Nothobranchius furzeri: one gene and its partner. The protein of the gene in region 1 interacts with the protein of each later gene in a biochemical or structural test. Links are inferred from orthologs where the notes say so. Each region holds a gene or a part of one and is shown in the gene's direction. Other genes may lie near its edges. The genes, in order: setd1a and wdr82.

Evidence for each region.
Region 2: the proteins of setd1a (region 1) and wdr82 form a complex in vitro, tested with the Homo sapiens proteins (2 studies listed by BioGRID). The link is inferred for Nothobranchius furzeri from reciprocal best matches to the Homo sapiens genes SETD1A and WDR82.

Annotation. Positions count from the first base shown.
Region 1 is NC_091745.1:9,179,700-9,183,521, reverse strand, and holds part of setd1a (histone-lysine N-methyltransferase SETD1A), read left to right. Parts: intron 1-197; coding exon 198-1,866; intron 1,867-2,530; coding exon 2,531-3,499; intron 3,500-3,822. UniProt on the Homo sapiens protein: Histone methyltransferase that catalyzes methyl group transfer from S-adenosyl-L-methionine to the epsilon-amino group of 'Lys-4' of histone H3 (H3K4) via a non-processive mechanism.
Region 2 is NC_091743.1:64,676,519-64,680,933, forward strand, and holds the start of wdr82 (WD repeat-containing protein 82), read left to right. Parts: upstream 1-1,506; 5' UTR 1,507-1,702; coding exon 1,703-1,863; intron 1,864-2,410; coding exon 2,411-2,508; intron 2,509-2,902; coding exon 2,903-2,969; intron 2,970-3,103; coding exon 3,104-3,203; intron 3,204-3,352; coding exon 3,353-3,469; intron 3,470-4,415. Other genes in the region: glyctk (glycerate kinase), read right to left, coding at 1-27, 103-458. UniProt on the Homo sapiens protein: Regulatory component of the SET1/COMPASS complex implicated in the tethering of this complex to transcriptional start sites of active genes.

The DNA of each region.
Region 1 (3,822 bases):
ATAGAAACAACATAAAAGCATCTGATGAGCTCGTAAACCTGTTTTCTAGTTACTTAAACAGAAACGGTCGCTTTAAACAGCTGTATTAACTGCTCATCTGTCCTTGACGTCGGAGGCACTAAGTAAAGAGAGCTTTGCAGAGTTGTTATGTATGTAAATCCCCAGAATAACTGTTTTACCTAATCTTTGTCTTGCAGACATCCTGGCTATAATCCAGGCCCTTTGGGCAGTGGCTATCCCCCCCAGGACATGTTACCATCATCATCTTCATCTTCTGCAGTCTCGTCTTCTGTCGGAGGATACAAAGTATCTCGTTACCCCGATGAACAGGATCCATCAGTGCACCATCGATGTCGCCCAGGGTACCCTCCATCCTATCGTCCCAACGAGCCACCATGCTACCCCCCCTACCCTAATCTTGGAGGACCAGGGCCCCAGATAGCACATCACTCCACAATGCCTCCCCCACCTTTTTCCAATCAGCATGACCATCTTCCAATGTCAGATCGAGACCGTGAAAGAGACTCAGGGGGGAGGTATGGACCAGGGGGCACTGGCTCCAGAAGGTCATCCTACCATCACCAGCAGGACACAAACTCTTCCTCAAAGTACCATTCCCATCACTCCCATCACCATTCAGACCGCAGAGATGATCGGGGTTACCGGCGCGACAGCCTCGGCTCCCGGTCAGGTGACCACAGCCACCAGAGACACCGCAACCACCACCACCACTCTCACAACCACCACGGAAGCAGCAGTCGCAGAAGAAACAGCCACGATCGGGACAGGGACCGAGACAGAGATAGGGACCGAGACAGCGACTACTCCAACAGCTCTGATCCCAGATACAATTCCAACTCTTATCGCTCCTCTTCGAACAGCATGTCTCCTCCTCCATCATCTTACTCTGCCTACGCCTCCTCTAAAGAGGCTGCTCCAACCCCTCCTCAGGGATCGGACGGGTCCACCCGCCCAGGGGCAACAGGCCTTGCAGAAAGGGGTTCTCTGCCTTCAGCAGGTGCTGACAAAGGCTACCACGCCGATCATCACGGTGCCCTGCCTCCTCCTCCCCCTCCACTTCCACCCGCCTCTGTTATTGCGGCAGCTGTCGCTGACACGCTAGGATCACTGGACTTCAACCAGGACAGTCCTGCTGGTGAAGAGCAGTGGACAAAGCCCAAACGTCATCCTAGCACTCCACCTGCTCCACCCAAGACTCCCCCACCCTCATCTCCTGTCCACCCTACTATCGCCTCCTCCTCTAACTCTCCCTCCTCGGCCTCCCTTCCTCATCACCTTTCCTCCTCCTCCAGCTCCCCACCGCCTCCTCACCGGGACTCCTCTTCCCCAGAACCCGACTCCACTAATGAGAGTTTACCGTTTGTTTACCACAGCAGCAGTCTTGACTCTCGCATTGAGATGCTCTTAAAAGAGCAAAAGGCGAAATTTTCTTTCCTCGCCTCTGATGAGGAAGAGGATGACGATAGGAAAGAAGACAAGCTTCGAGCCAAAGCTGGGGAGCGAGTCGATCGAAGAGGTGGGTCAGGTAAAGCAACAGGGGAACAGGAGCACATAAGAGACAGTGGAGAGAAAGAACACAGGAAGAAAGAGGAGCGAGATCAAGATGGCCACAAAGGAAAGAAACAGGGGAAGAGGGGAGAGGGGAGGAAGAGCCCAACTGTTCTCTCAGCAGATACACAACCCCCCTCCACTCATTCTCCCCTTATCCTACCTCCAGAAGAACCTCAACCCCAGGTTAGCCTTGCTGGGACCGGGACGTCACAACAAGAGTCCGATCAGCCGGGTTCTGCTGATGCAGAGAGCCGAACGGGAGCTCACACACCACCCTTTAATGGGCAGAGTCAGGTAGGACAGGGACTTTTAGAACGTTACAGTTTAAAACCACACTGAAACACAAAGTAACTTGCTGCAAACCATGTGGTCTAAAATCCACTTTAACTTCTATTCATTTACTAGAATAAAATGACATTTGTTTAGAAACAAAAACGGCTGCATCCTTTAGCCTCGTAATTCATCTCTCTGCTTTTATTTTTGCTCTTGGTACACCTTATGATGGAGATCATTTTAATCTAGAGCAAGTTTTAAAAGACTTGGCGAGATGATAATACTGCTGCAAAGTTTTCAGCTCTGTCCAGGTGCAGAGAGACTGACGATCTAAAAGTCTGTGGAGCCTGAAATGTGCAGCTAACTTGTTCGTTTTACTCCTGTATTGCGTAGTTGTTTTAATAACATCGCCCTCTTGTGGACAAGTCTAATACTTGCATGTGAATTTCAAACGTGTTCTTATGAAAGTCGCATTAGAAAATGTATTTAGTGTTCAGAGACGACGTGTCTAGTACACCGCTGCTAATGACAGCGTTACAGTCTTAAGTTTGATCTGTTTTCCTTGGATTTTGTGGTCGGTCTCCCTGGAGGTGAATTTCCTAAATGCGGTTATTGCTGTGGAATGTGCACAAACACACGGGTGGTTTTTTAACTGTAAACCATAATCTGGTTTTCTTTTTGTCAGGCCTCTCCTCATTCTTCTGGGGAGGACATGGAGATCTCAGACGAGGAGGAGGAGGAAACAACAACCACTATAACAACAACAGCAACCCATCAGCAATCAGCCGCTTCGGGATCTTCACCGTCCTCTTCTCAGGCTGCACCGTCACAAACAGCAGACCCCTCGTCCTCCCCACCACCCGACTCTTCGCAGCACTTTGGCACTTCTATGCACCTCCCAATACCTTCCTACCCACCTCATTTACCTCCCCCTCCCCCTCATGGTTACTCCCTTCAGCCTCCGCCTCCACCAGGGATTCCCCCCCTTCCCCACATGGAGCTGCACCCTGAGTATCCCCCTCCTATGCCTCACCACATGTATGACTACGCCAGCTCGATGGAACTGATGAACCAGTACAGTGGTGGAGCACCGATGTCCTTCCAAATGCAGACACACATGCTAAGTCGCTTACAGCAGATGCGTATGTCTTCATCCAACGGCACACCAGGTCCAGGTGAGGCCGCTACTGCAGACTACTCATCCTACCATATTCACTCAATGCCACCTCCTCACACGCATCACTCCTACATGGACCAGGAGGGGAGTGGGGCAGGTGCTCATTTTGACCAAGACCACAGGTACATGCCCCCTCATATGTCCTATCCCTACCACGATCCCCACAATACTCAGATACCACCCCCTCCCCACACTGGCTGGCCACCACACGTCTTACCTCCTCATTACCCCTCCTACATGCCCCCTCCTGGCTACGGCACTATGCTGACCGGAGATGGGAACGAGTTTAGCGTTCCCGGGGAGCAGATGCCCATGTTGGCTGAGAATCCACATGAGGCAACGGTGCAGATGGTCTTGGCCACGCTTATCCAGGAAATGAAGAACATCATGCAGAGGGACCTAAACCGTAAGATGGTGGAGAACGTAGCGTTTGCAACGTTTGATGAGTGGTGGGAGAGGAAGGAGACCAAAGCCAAGGTAAGGGCTCATCTGTTTACGATTGTTCTGATCTTTGGGTAGAAGTTACAAATGCACATTTAGCGACAAAAACTTCCAGTCTAATTTTCTGATCAGATGTATACTTCCATATTTTCCTCAAATTGTTCTCTCTCTTAGCATTTTCCACATGACTTCAGGACAAGTGTGGGACTGATTGTTGGTAAACCTTTCATTGGAAAGGTATATATATATATATATATATATATATATATATATATAAATATATAAACCTTTCATTGGAAAGGTTTATATGTACAGTGGGGTAAAAAAGTATTTAGTCAACCACCGATTGTGCAAATTCT
Region 2 (4,415 bases), on another chromosome or scaffold:
CGACTGTTTTCCTTTAGCAGGAGATGGCTGCGATAGAATTAAGAGCTTGATTTATTTTAGTTCTTTGGCATAAATTGATTCCCTCTGAAGGTCTTTCCTTACCTTTTCCCGTGCTGCCGTAACGTCTGCTGAATCCCATGAGGCACACTTATGACGCCATTCACTAAATGATCACCCACGATCCTCTCTACCTCCGCAGCCATTCCCAGAACAGCTTTTCCAAAGCCCACCAAGTGCAGGTTGTGTTTGAGTGTGAATCTGCGACCGTCAATAAGAACTGAATCTTCCGTGCGCTCTATGCTCTTCCTGATTACAGTGTCTGGCTGCACAGCTTCCACTGCCGCTGCAAAGACCTTCCGGGCCCGTGAGTCCATTGACATTTTGCAGAATGTAGGTTTTGGCCGGCCCACGAGGGCCAGAATAGGCTGAGGCCGGATCAGGGAAAGGACGCGGGCCATTGATGGATCAATGGGTCTGAGAAATTCATGAATCAGGACAAAGAATGACAATAAAAAACCTTTAACATGTGAAGACATTTGAAATTTATTACATGCCTCAAAGAAACTTGGAATTAGTACACCAACAATTCCTCGTTGTACAAAAACGAAAGAAAGGAGGTGTGGAAAAACCTCTGCATCTAATTTTATCCTCATCCATGTGCATAATATCTTGCTTTTGAAAAGCAACCATAAAAATACTAATCCAATAACTAAAACTTGTATATTTGTTATCAACATTCTACTTTTGCAAACTTTCACTCCAATATTGAGCTCTCTGAGATTCCTTAAGACTGCCTACCTGTGTGGGTCGTGAATGGTGGCATTTAATGCCTGCAAATTCCAGTGGAATCCCGTCGTGTGTGTTCTAGCTCAGCAGTGGAACAAATATCTGGCCCGACAATGATTGGTGTTGTTTAAACTCTGTTTAATGATTAACTTTAACGGATCATAGACCATGCTAAAGTGCTCTTCATCCAGTTGAGACATATTATTTTACTTGAACACGTGTGAATCAAATTAAATTAAGTTTAAAAGGCAAGTTACCCCCAAATCAACTTTTTTTTCTTCTGATAAACTAAACTAGTGTCTAATTGTGTAGACGTGCATAGTCAATATTTTGGCACTTTAAAGCATCTTAGTTAAAATTGAAATAATTTGCCTAAAACTGTCAATGTTGACAGTTTTGTTGCCAAATACCTGAAATGTTTCTATCCATGGAGTCAAAATTCCTGCTGGAACTTTCTTCGTTACCTCTGCGTTCATGTTCGAACATCAAAATTCCACACTTACTATTATAAAAAATACGTATTAAACGTCAAAAACACAATAACTGTCTTGTGTTTAAATCGGAACACTCTGAAATTTCAAAGTAAGATCAGCTAAAAACGCGAAAGATTTGATTATTCACGCTGTTCTTCACTGTGTTTCTGCTGTTTGTATTGGTGGTAATTCTCGCGATAACACGCTGTCTCGTCACGTGTTTTTTCACCCGTGTCAGGTGACTTCCGTTATAGAGCGACGGACATTGCGTTTCCCTTCCCTTCTGTGTTACAGGCGGGATTTTGTCGTTGTTTCTGATTTGAGTTCTCGATAATTGTGACTTGTAGTGTAACTGTTGCTCACATATCCACACGAATTTCCTCAAGTTTACTTTCCAAATCAAGTTCAAAGAGAACGAGGGCCTATTTCCCCTCAAGACAACCATGAAGCTAACGGACAATGTGCTACGGAGCTTCAGGGTTGCTAAAGTATTTCGTGAGAACTCAGACAAAATTAATTGCTTCGATTTCAGTTCGAACGGAGAAACTATTATTTCCAGCAGCGACGATGACTCTATAGTGTTGTACGACTGCCAGGAAGGAAAGTAAGGGCGATTTCTGCTGAGTTTACTTTTTGGAATTAGCTTCATGCTAAGCTAACACCGAGGCCTGTCGCACTGCGTAGGACTCAGCGGTCAAATAAAAATACGCGTTTGAATTACGCTAGAGTAATAATTATGTGGTTATCTGATTGGTAAAATATACCCGTAAATAAAACCCAACATGTTAAAATTTTTTGTAATAGTTAGCTTGAGTGATGGTGTAAAGAGGGCAGAAATTTGAATTGTTAAGTTTTATAAAACTTATTTTACAGCATCATCAGTAATTTTGAATCTAAACGAGTATTCACATGAGCATGTGCGAGCATTATTTCATATTTAGCTCCAATACAATTATGTGGATACATTATTTTTAAGGTAAATGAGAGAAAACCAAATGTGTAGAAGATTTGGATTAGCATGTAATCAGATTTAAAACAAGAACGGCAGAATATAGAACTTTAACAAAATAGCAGTTGGTTAGTTTTATTTGTTCTGATTAAAATTCTTGATGTTAGTCTGATCACGTTTTGTTTGTTCTGATTAATTACAGGCCCAAGAGGACTCTGTATAGTAAAAAGTATGGAGTAGATCTGATCAGGTACACACATGCTGCAAACACTGTGGTCTACAGTTCCAACAAAATTGATGGTATGTAAACTAATGTCATTTCCATAATTACATTCATTCAACTGTGAATGGGGATGAATACTTTTCTTGGTCTGTAAGGGTTTGTTTTTTTTAGCCACAGCATCATGATCTGTTGTATTGACTGAACTCTACAGGATGTTTCTCCACCTCCAGCTTCTCCATCACAGCTCATCATGCTGCTCACTGTAGTCTGAGGTAGTTGTTTGTACAGTTTGAGGGTCTGTGATTCTGCCCCATACAGGAGCTAACTGTACAAGTGACTGCCTTGCCCACGGTTGAGTGTACTCATCACATGTTGATGCTGGTGGATTCGTTTTAATCATTTACTCCCGCTGCAGGTCTTACATGTTTATTGACTGACACGAGTTTAATGATGTGTCTCTTTTCCTACAAGACACCATCAGGTACCTGTCTCTTCATGACAACAAATACATCCGCTATTTTCCTGGACACAACAAGAGGTGAGGGCTGAGTAACTATTTCTGTATCTGTTTACTGTTTTATTTTTGTAAGTTTTTGTTTTCCTTTAAAATGTTTCAGGTTTAAAGTTTTTACTCGTCATGTTTTGTTCTGTGGTTGTGTTTGTTGTGACCAGGGTGACTTCTCTCTCCATGTCTCCTGTGGATGACACATTTATTTCTGGCTCATTAGATAAAACCATCCGACTGTGGGATCTGCGGTCGCCTAACTGCCAAGTAAGGGTCCAATTTCAAGCAGTCAAAAGTGCCAGCTAAAATGTTTCACATTTATGATAACAGCTTTTCATTTGGTGCGCTGTCCTTGCTGATTCACTCGTCAAATGAAAAAACTGATTTTGACCTTTGCTATTATTTGTCTCTTTTAGGGACTGATGCACCTGCAGGGAAAGCCGGTGTGCTCTTTTGATCCAGAGGGTCTCATTTTTGCTGCAGGAATAAATTCAGAAATGGTTAAACTCTATGATCTGCGGTCATTTGATAAAGTAAGAATTGCTTTTGTCTTTTTTTGTTTTTTTTTTATACAGGTGCTTTAAATCCTAGAACAGATTTAAATTTTGAATGAATGAAACCTTTAACAGTCTGGATCAAGGCTTCTCAGGTCTGCTCCGCGTGTTTTAGCTGCTCCAACACACCCGATTCAATGGTTGAATCTCCTCATCATCGTGTCCTCAAAGTTTTTGGAAGTCTGTTAATCACCCATTGATGCAAACCAGGTGTGTTAGTGCAGGAAAACAGAAAACATGCAGGTAGTGGCTCTTTGATTGCAAAGCGCAGGTTTAGAAAATACAAGAAAAAAATCAGATGGAAAAATGCTGCTCACACACACACACACACGCACGCGTGGAGAAACAGAAACTAAAATAAACAATGGTGCATACAGACAAATATTACACCTGGAGCCCTTTAAATCTTCTGCACAATTATAATCGATGTATTATCAATGTCATGTGATAAACTAAACAACCGTGATGATGTTTATTTTTTTTAAGCTGTATTTTATTTGAACTTATTAAAACACAGCAGGTTAAAGACACACAAGACTAGAGCTGGGCATTGATACAAATTTCAAGAATCTATTTAATTCCGATTCTCAAGAGTTAGAATAGATTGTTACGATCTGATCTGACTCAGTCTGTTCCAGTTTGATATCGATATGGGTCAAGAAAACAAATACATGCTGGCAGTGGGCTTGGTGACAACACTTATTAAACTTAACATAGATAATTAAATAAATTCTTAGTGTTTGTAATGTTACAGCAAACACATGAAACCTGTGTTATGGGTCAGGAAACGTTATAGCGATCATTACAAGCAGCTAATTAGCCTAAAGAGGCAACCATCCCTCTTCTTCATTGTGTTTTCTTTAATGATGTTCATCTTCCTCGTACTGCCATGGAAGGTGGGTTTACTTAGCAGATTTTGCACGTT